2 linked regions of the Nothobranchius furzeri genome follow. The protein of the gene in region 1 purifies or fractionates together with the protein of each later gene. This does not show direct contact. Links are inferred from orthologs where the notes say so. Each region holds a gene or a part of one and is shown in the gene's direction. Other genes may lie near its edges. The genes, in order: eif2ak3 and tbl2.

Evidence for each region.
Region 2: the proteins of eif2ak3 (region 1) and tbl2 purify together in Homo sapiens (affinity purification with western blotting; 3 studies listed by BioGRID). This does not show direct contact. The link is inferred for Nothobranchius furzeri from reciprocal best matches to the Homo sapiens genes EIF2AK3 and TBL2.

The regions. Positions count from the first base shown.
Region 1 is NC_091758.1:5,542,349-5,546,602, reverse strand, and holds the start of eif2ak3 (eukaryotic translation initiation factor 2-alpha kinase 3), read left to right. Parts: upstream 1-1,226; 5' UTR 1,227-1,411; coding exon 1,412-1,677; intron 1,678-4,254. UniProt on the Homo sapiens protein: Metabolic-stress sensing protein kinase that phosphorylates the alpha subunit of eukaryotic translation initiation factor 2 (EIF2S1/eIF-2-alpha) in response to various stress, such as unfolded protein response (UPR).
Region 2 is NC_091750.1:52,607,442-52,611,766, reverse strand, and holds the start of tbl2 (transducin beta-like protein 2), read left to right. Parts: upstream 1-1,407; 5' UTR 1,408-1,493; coding exon 1,494-1,620; intron 1,621-2,298; coding exon 2,299-2,420; intron 2,421-2,873; coding exon 2,874-3,058; intron 3,059-3,181; coding exon 3,182-3,333; intron 3,334-3,451; coding exon 3,452-3,578; intron 3,579-3,873; coding exon 3,874-4,026; intron 4,027-4,325.

The DNA.
Region 1 (4,254 bases):
GCGAGTTTGAGGTGTTTTGCATGTATTTGTGTGTTTTCTCATGTGTTTTTTTTACCTCCACCTTTTAGCAGAAGTTGGGACCATGCCATTAGGTATAAGCTTATACCTGCCTTTATGTTACTATGGTGTTAGGTCACTGGGTGTCTAGAGCCACTTTACACTAAAGTTTCTGTTGTATAAACCAATGTCAGCTGCTGTTCCGAGCCTTAGATGTTTTTGTTCTACCATCTTTAACGTGTTCCTGTGGAATTGAACTAGTCAGTCATTAGGATCGAATTCTGAAGCCTCGGTGTTTGTTGGAGGAAAACAGACCTCAAATGTACTTGTACACCTTTCCCCTTTGTATGACTTCAGTGTTCAATGCCTGTAAAAGACTGCCCAGTGTTGTGCCATACTCATGCTTATAAAAGGATTGATGATTAAAGTGTCTGGCAGCAGTGTGTCCATGCAATCGAAAGGCCACATTTCCTGTGTCTGCGTTCGTCTCTCAAAAATGAGGTCTATTCGTGAAAACGTGGTTCAGGTCCATGCTCACCACGAGACAGCAGCGCCGTTACCTGGTAGGACTATAAACTCCTCATCAGTAACACGGGCACGTAAATGTAGGCTAGGAGCGTGGCTTCATAAACACGTTTCTTTGCTTGATTTGTGTCACAGTCGCTGCATTTTAGTGAAAGTGTAAAACTGAACTCGTAACCGGAAACAGGAACTGCACCGATTACTTCCACCGGGCCACGTTGTTGTTTTTCATGTCGACGGCTCTTGACAACTGCGTCTAAGCGACAGCTGAATTAACCAATCAGGTGCTCACATGAGGTCACTCGAAACTGATTTAGGCCAATAACATTACGTGATTTCATTATCTTTTCTGTCATTGGACGAACGACTAAACATCCGACCAATCTCAACAACCAAACAGATTTTGCCCCCGGGGACTTTTTACGTCACTTATCCAGTGCGCACGCGCACCTGTGACGAACAGGAGTTTAGCCAATGAAACGGAGTGTTTGGAGGCCGGTGTTTCCGGGTCCGCCTCTTTGAGTGACGGATATCTAACGCAATCATGTTGTGCTTAGTAAGCGAGGACGTGTAACTGACAGCGAAGTACGCAATGAGAAACGCGCGCATTAAAACGCAAGGCCCGTGCGGGTTTACGGTCCAATCCCGGTGTGGAAACGAGGCGGGATTTAGCGTTACTACGGAAAGTCTGGGTCTAGTATAAAGAGAACAACATGGTGTCCCAGAGGCTGTTTATGTTTACTTAAAGAGCTCGTTCAGCGGGGCGTCCAGCACGCGACACTTTTATAACCGTAACCTCGGCTCTTTTATACTTTCACCTTGTTTTTATACTAACTTTTACCAGGGCCGTGGCGTGTGCGTCTCCTCTTTCACTAATGTGCCAGTTCTACAAATGGAAAGGGGGCTTCACTTTGGAGTGAGCACTTCCCTGCTGCTCCTGCTCCTGCTGCTCAAAGCGCCCACCGGTTCCGGGACCTCACCCGGCTGGGTGTCGGGCTCGGCAAAACATGGTCCGAGAGTCATGGAGCGGGGCTTGGAGAGCCTAGGCACCCCCCCGGTCCCCGGTGCAGACGTCACCGTGGAGGACGACGAGAACGGGTCGACAGGTGAGGCCGACGACCCGTACGAAGACGGTAACGGAAGCGTCCGCTCCACAAGGTAAACACGGTGCTAGCTGCTGACATCCATTATCGGACACGCTCGTTTCCAACTTCAGGTGACTTGGAAATTACTAAAAGTTGACGGCTTTTACTTTGATGTGTTTCACCGACTTTCAAACCTGCGACGTGAAGGCTGACGTGACACCTGTGTTGTCATGGAAATGCCCAATAACGTGAACGCCATGAGCAGAAAACAGGAAGGTGCTGTCTGTGTCCGATAATCGAGTCACGTTAAGTTTCCCGGAGCTGCGGTTGTGGCTGCTGTGAAAAGATGGATTTTAGAGGTCATTTATGAACGTGAGACACCTCAGCGCGAGCAGGAAGTTCTGGTTCAACAGAACAGAACAAAAGCAGGACGTCCCAGGTGAGCTGGGACAGAGGTTTGTTTGTTTCTGGTGTGCAGTAAACACCAAAGCTGTCTGGTGTCAACAGCAGAGGTGCTGCCAGCTGGAGCAGGAATCACGTGATCTAATGGCTCCAGCAGATCTAAACATCTCAGGCTGTCAGAGGGAACGTCCAGGTGAACGGTCCACTCAGGTTGCAGCAGCTGCTCAGAGAGAGAAGCGTTTTCCTCGGCAACAGCCGGTTCAACGCCCACCCTCGGTGCCTGTTCCTGATGCTGTGTGTGTTTATTCTGAGTGTATTTGTTTTACACACACTCCTGCAGCTCCCTTTGGCTGGGACCTAACCCCAGACAGCACCAGCAGGCTGTCTGTGGTGTTGATGTAGTTGGATCAAAGTCCTGGAAGCCAGAAACCTGTCCAGGTATAGGTGCAGCCTCTGAACATCACAGCAGCAGCAGCAGCAGCATGGTGATGGGTTTTGGTTCAGGCAGATGTGATCTCACAGCAGGGGGCCGCTGAGCTGCTGCAGGACTTGTTTTTGGTTTACTCTCAAGCACAACTCTGGTGCCACAATGGTGAAGCTGTTTGCTGCACGCTGGAAAGGAATCTGAAAGTAATTAGTGGAGAAGCTTTTCTAGGTACGGTGCAGGTTATTCCCCTGCCGGCAGGTCACACCCTGCTCCCTCTCTGCACCTTCATCCCCTAACATTTCTGCTCCCCTCATGAGCCGCCTCTCCTTCACCAAGGAGCCTTTAGTGCACACTAGACTCCCACTTGTGATTCAGACTTCAGAGCATTTTCTAACAAGAAGTTTGGACCTGAAGTGGCTTTTGATGAGGAGGAATCTGTTGAATCTGATCGAAAACGGGAACTTGTGTGACTTTTTTGTTTAGTAAAGAGTGTCCATGAATCCTGTGTGTCCCCATGTCTCTGTGTGTCCCCACATGTCTCCGTGTGTCCCCACATGTCTCCGTGTGTCCCCACATGTCTCCGTGTGTCCCCATGGGACTCCCTGTGCATTTATTACCTTTGTCTGTTGCTCTTGAGTTTAGTCTTGCTCTTACCCTTCCTTGATGTTCAAACACACACACACACACACACACACACACACACACACACACACACACACACACACACACACACACACACAGCGAGCGTAGGGTTAATGTAATATTGTGTTTTAGTGAACCTGACTTGTGCAGCAGGGTTTCCAGAGGTTCTCTGTCAGACGTGAACGTCTGCAGCATCAGAACCTCTCCCAGCAGTAAATGGGTCCGATCTTCTGTCGTTCCTCTCCTGGAATTCCTTTCAGCTCTTCCTGCTGTTTCCTCCTGAACCGGTTCATTGATGGTTACACAACCACTAATGAACGTACAACCTTTTAATTCTTTTGTGGTGATAATCAGATCAGCTGATTGGTGACTCACTCTTTCCAGGTGAGGAGAAACCCTGAGAGTTTGCGTCTTTGTTGACGATCCTCCCCAGAAGCAGCCCTCTGATGTTTTTGTTGTGTATGAGACGTTCTCGTCATCTTCTGTCATCTATAAATATTCTAGATGTCTGCTTTGATCCAGCCTGGGATTGTGACAAGCGGCGCTCCTGTCGTCTGTCAGCTGCTCTGGAAATGCGCTGCTCCACCTGTTAGTGGATGAGCTCTGATGTGACGGTGCTGCCAGCTTTGATGGCTCAGTTGGGCTCTGGAGCCCCTCGGGGAGCGCTCACAGGTGAGAGGGCGCTTATTCCCTCACTCTCCCTGAAGGCCCTGGAACTGCACTAGCTCTTCTGGTTTCTAACGGCCTACTGCTTAGCAACAACCAATCGGCCGCGCTGGGCTACTTGTCGTCCAATTGCAACTAGAAGATGGGTCAGTGCTCATAATTCAAGCGGGACTCTCGGCTCTGGTTACAGAAAGGTGCGGGAGGAAGTGGTCCGCTCTCTGTAACCAGGGAAACGCCTTTAATAATAGACCCAGATGAGCAGCAGGTGACTGATCTCTGCTGAGCCCCCACTGATCCTGGAAGCTGGTTGTTTTAGATGGGAGTTACTGACCCAACTCCATCACATCAAACATGACATCATCTGTCCTGTTAGCATAAAACACGCTTCTCACCCAGCTAGGAGGTTTGACCATCATCTGTGTGATATCTGACATAACCGTCCTCCATGAACACCAGTTTGATGATCAGTGGGACAGTTTATTATGTCAGTGGTTATTTTGGTAGTCTGACAGC
Region 2 (4,325 bases), on another chromosome or scaffold:
GATTGCCAACAGTGATGTGAGTTGCAGGTCTGTGTGTGAGGAGGGTGACTACTTTTGACATGTGCTGATGAACCAAAGCCAACTGTTCAACTTCATGCCTGTGAAAACAATCTTTTATTTCTTTTTCAGTTGCTGAGATGTGTGTTTGTGCCAGACTACCTCTTTTTAAATCCCAGGCACTGAAATGTTTTATTCATTTACAGAAAATATTAGATTTTAATTTCAGCTGCTGCTTGCTAAGGTGTGATAAATTGTTTTTAAAATAATCTTTACAGCACATTACCCCAACTTCAGAAATATTATGTCGTGAATGCAAAATTAACCTCCCACGAGTCAACCCACCATTGATGGAACTGAAAGTGTTTTCTGGTTGTTTAGGACAAAGTCTCAAAGATGCAGGTTTGTTTTTATGGCTTATATTTCCATCTGACTTTAAGGATTTATATATATATATACTTTTTTTTTTTTTGTCAAAATGACCTGTTCTCACTCAGTGATTATCACCTGTGCAGTTATTTTGGGTCAATTTCGAATGAATAAAAAGTTTGGGTTTGTGCGGATGCTTGAACAAATACACCTGAAACCCCTCACTATCTCATGTCATCAAACCGTATGACCAGAAAACTAAAATTAATTTCAATTGTTCAACTCCATTTGATATTTTAGCCGTTTTTAAAGCTTTGTTGCGAAAAATGTAAATAAAAATGAAATGCAAGTGATTTGGTGAACATTAAAAGTTATATTTATTGGTACCATGGCAACACTTTTTAGTGTGATTTAGTGATCTGGCTCGACTTTAAAATCCCACACAGTGCACCGTATGAAAGGAAACTACAGCTGGAATTATATACGTAATATATTTTGTCATTTGCCATTAGTCAAAGAATTTATAATGAATCAAAAGTTGAGAGCTTCTTTTGACGTATTTAAAAGTTTTCATAGCAATAATTTATCATCGTTTTCTGCACGTTTCTCGTTGTCGATTACATTCCAGTCCACTAGGTGGTCCACAGCTATTTTTATTGGATTCACTGAATATCAGTAGTACGAAGTTACACCTACTGTGAGTTTATTTCATGTAAAGCTTTAGTGTATTTTTGCCACTGTGTGGGATAATGACATGTAAGAATACACATTAAATCTTCTAGAGCTGGTGAATAACGATTTAGTACAAAATTTGTCTCCATTTTACTAGCTCAGGCTTTATGATTCACTTTGAGTATATTTCTTTTTCAGGAATAAACTTTTTGCTTTTAGCAAACCAATATTAAACATAAAGCCGATAGTTATTGCTACACAACTTCAGAAATTAAATTAGAAAATTTTGAACATGCGGTTTCTAAGTTATTTAATTTTACAGCTTATATTTACGGTTGAAATTGGGGATCGTGAACGTATCTCTAAAAGAATTGTATTTGAGCGCATGCGCAGAGCCCTGTTAGAATGGGCTAGCTTTTAGCAGTGTATGAAATACGTGGCAGAAATACTTCGACATGGAGATAGCTGCTCTGGTTGCTGTGACTTTATTACTGGGTGCACTGGTTGGTCTGGTGGCATTAGCGGTGGGGAGACGGAAAGAAGAGAAAAGAGAAGAAATAGAGCAAACAGTGGAGAGTTCAGGTAGGAGCACATTACCGCATTGGTGACTCAGAAACGCGGAGAGTTAGCAGCGTTTGAGTCTGTTGAATTAACGCAATTATTCGTTTATCAAATAATTCGATGTTTAATATAAAGTCACTGTGTTTTCAATATTATTCACTCTACCAATTTAAACTCGGACTGAAAACATTAACTGAAGGAACTTTTCAGCGACTACCACCTGCCTTTGGCCGATGGGGACATCTTTTGTTGACGGACCAATGGGGTCACGGTTTTGAGTAACCTGATTGTATCGTTTTATTACCATAATTTAACTGGTGAAACATGTTCTCCGATCAGATCAGTGTGTGATGTTGGCATTTATTACAATAATTAAGATATAATAAATACTTGAAGTGATAATGAATTAGCGATTCACCAGTTTCTTCTGTTTTCACTTAAGTTATGTTGACGTTAATAGAATAACGTCCTTCACAAACGCAAGCCTTCTATTTTTACGCATTTATAGTTCTACCAATTCAGACTAATAATATATAGATATTATTAATTAGAAAAAATGCTCTGTTATATTTTAATTGACAAGCTGACGTATTGTCAGAATTGTGTTGTCAAATACTCTGACGTTTTGACTTGTTGACAAGAACTATCCCCCCCTCCCCACACACACAGTGTAAATTATGACAACTATTTGTGCTTCAGTTGAATCCAGTGCTGCAAAAGGCCCTACGTCTAAGAAACCAAAGCAGGAAAAGCAGCGAAGTCGCAAAGATAAACCTGCACAGCACAGTTTCAGCGATCCATTGTTGGCCTCCTCACTGAAGGTAAACTGAAAACACACACACACACACACACAAAACCTCATCTAAGATCACAGATCATAACACGAAACCAGCTTTACCACAATGTGCATGTATTATTCACAGATAAGCTCACGTTCAGCCTCTGTATCATTTGACCTAATTATATTAAAGTCTTACACACACCTACATTTGTAAAGATATTGTAAAGAGGTTGTTGCCTCTTTAAAAATCTGTCCCTTAATCTTTCTAACTAAAACCAGACTTTTGTTACTATCTCACTTAAAATTACAAGAAACACTCTTAATAAGAGTTTATTTTATTTATTGAAGGGTGGCCTTTTTGCATCATTGACTCAGAATTTACTGCTCACGTGTAGTAATGGTGGACGCGCGTTAAAAATACAAGAAATAGAGATTTTTTTTCTAAATATTTAGCCCTTTTACAATTCCTCCTGCTCATTTGTGTTCCCTCTAGGGCCACAGCGGGAACGTGACATGCCTGGATTTCAGCAGTAACGGGAAGTACTTGGCATCCTGCGCTGATGATCGGACCGTTCGGATTTGGAGCACCAAAGACTTCCTGGAGCGGGAACACAAGTGTCTGAGAGCCAATGTGGAGCTGGATCACGCCACGCTTGTCCGCTTCAGTCCAGACTCCAGGTCTGTCATACTCATTCTGATATAAAACCACCCTAATTTTTTATTTTATTAACACAGACATTAACCTGCTGCTGTTAGTCATTTTTGGGTCATTACTCAATTCAAAGCATTCCTGTCCTGTAGGGCGTTTATCACCTGGCTCGCCAACGGAGACACGATACGCATCTTAAAAATGATCAAGAAGGATGACGGAACTTTCAGCTTCAAGGCTGCACCTGAGGATTTCCCACAGAAACACAAGGCCCCAATAATCAATATTGGCATTGCAGAGACGGGTACAGGACACATTAATAAATTAAATGTTCTTTTATGTTCTTGTTGTTTTTATTTTTATGTTAAAGATCTCCATGTTTCTCACAAGTTTTAAACATGGATATTTTTTCCTCCATGCAGGCAAGTTCATCATGAGTGCCTCCACAGACACTACTATCCACATCTGGGACCTGAAAGGAGAGCTGCTGGCCTCCATCAACACCAACCAGATGACCAGTTCTTATGCTGCTGTCTCCCCCTGTGGCAGGTCAGTCAGAGGAACTTAAATTAAAAATGTGGTGTTTACTTTTTAGACTCAGCATATCTGTAGCTGGGTTTCGTTGCTAAAATCTTTTTTTTTTTTTCCCCTGACCTTTTCAACTCTCAGTGGTGGCGTAAACATCCTGCACCAAAATAGACTTTTAGGGTTTGATGGTGGCTTAACCACAGCACATTTTGCACAAACCTAAAACTAAAACAACTCAAGCTAAATTGGTCTGCATAGTTTTAAAGGATGCATATCAAAATCTGTAGGATTGTCATTGTTTTCTCCCTGTGCTCAGGTTTGTAGCATCCTGTGGTTTCACTCCTGACGTGAAGGTTTGGGAGGTTTGCTTTGGGAAGGGAGGAGAGTTCAGAGAGGTCGCTCGAGCGTTTGATCTGAAAGGCCATTCTGCAGGAGTTCATGCTTTTGCTTTTTCTAACAACTCTCACAGGTAATAAAAGTGTTTGTTTACAACACAGAGCCACAGAGGAGGCTTGTTGTGCTTTGAATTTAAAAGCGATAAGACAAACAGCTTCCAATACCAAAGATGATCTGGGGCACGCTGAGTAATTTCCAGCTTCATTGTGCAAACAGAACTAATGATTCAACACCAAGGGTGTCATCTGATGAGGACACAGTGGGTGTTAAATCGTTAGTTCTGTTTGCACAATGAAGCTTGAAATTCATCAGTGAGATCCAGTTCCTATGTTTGATATCTGAAGCAATCACTCTGCTAAATGGAAAAAACAC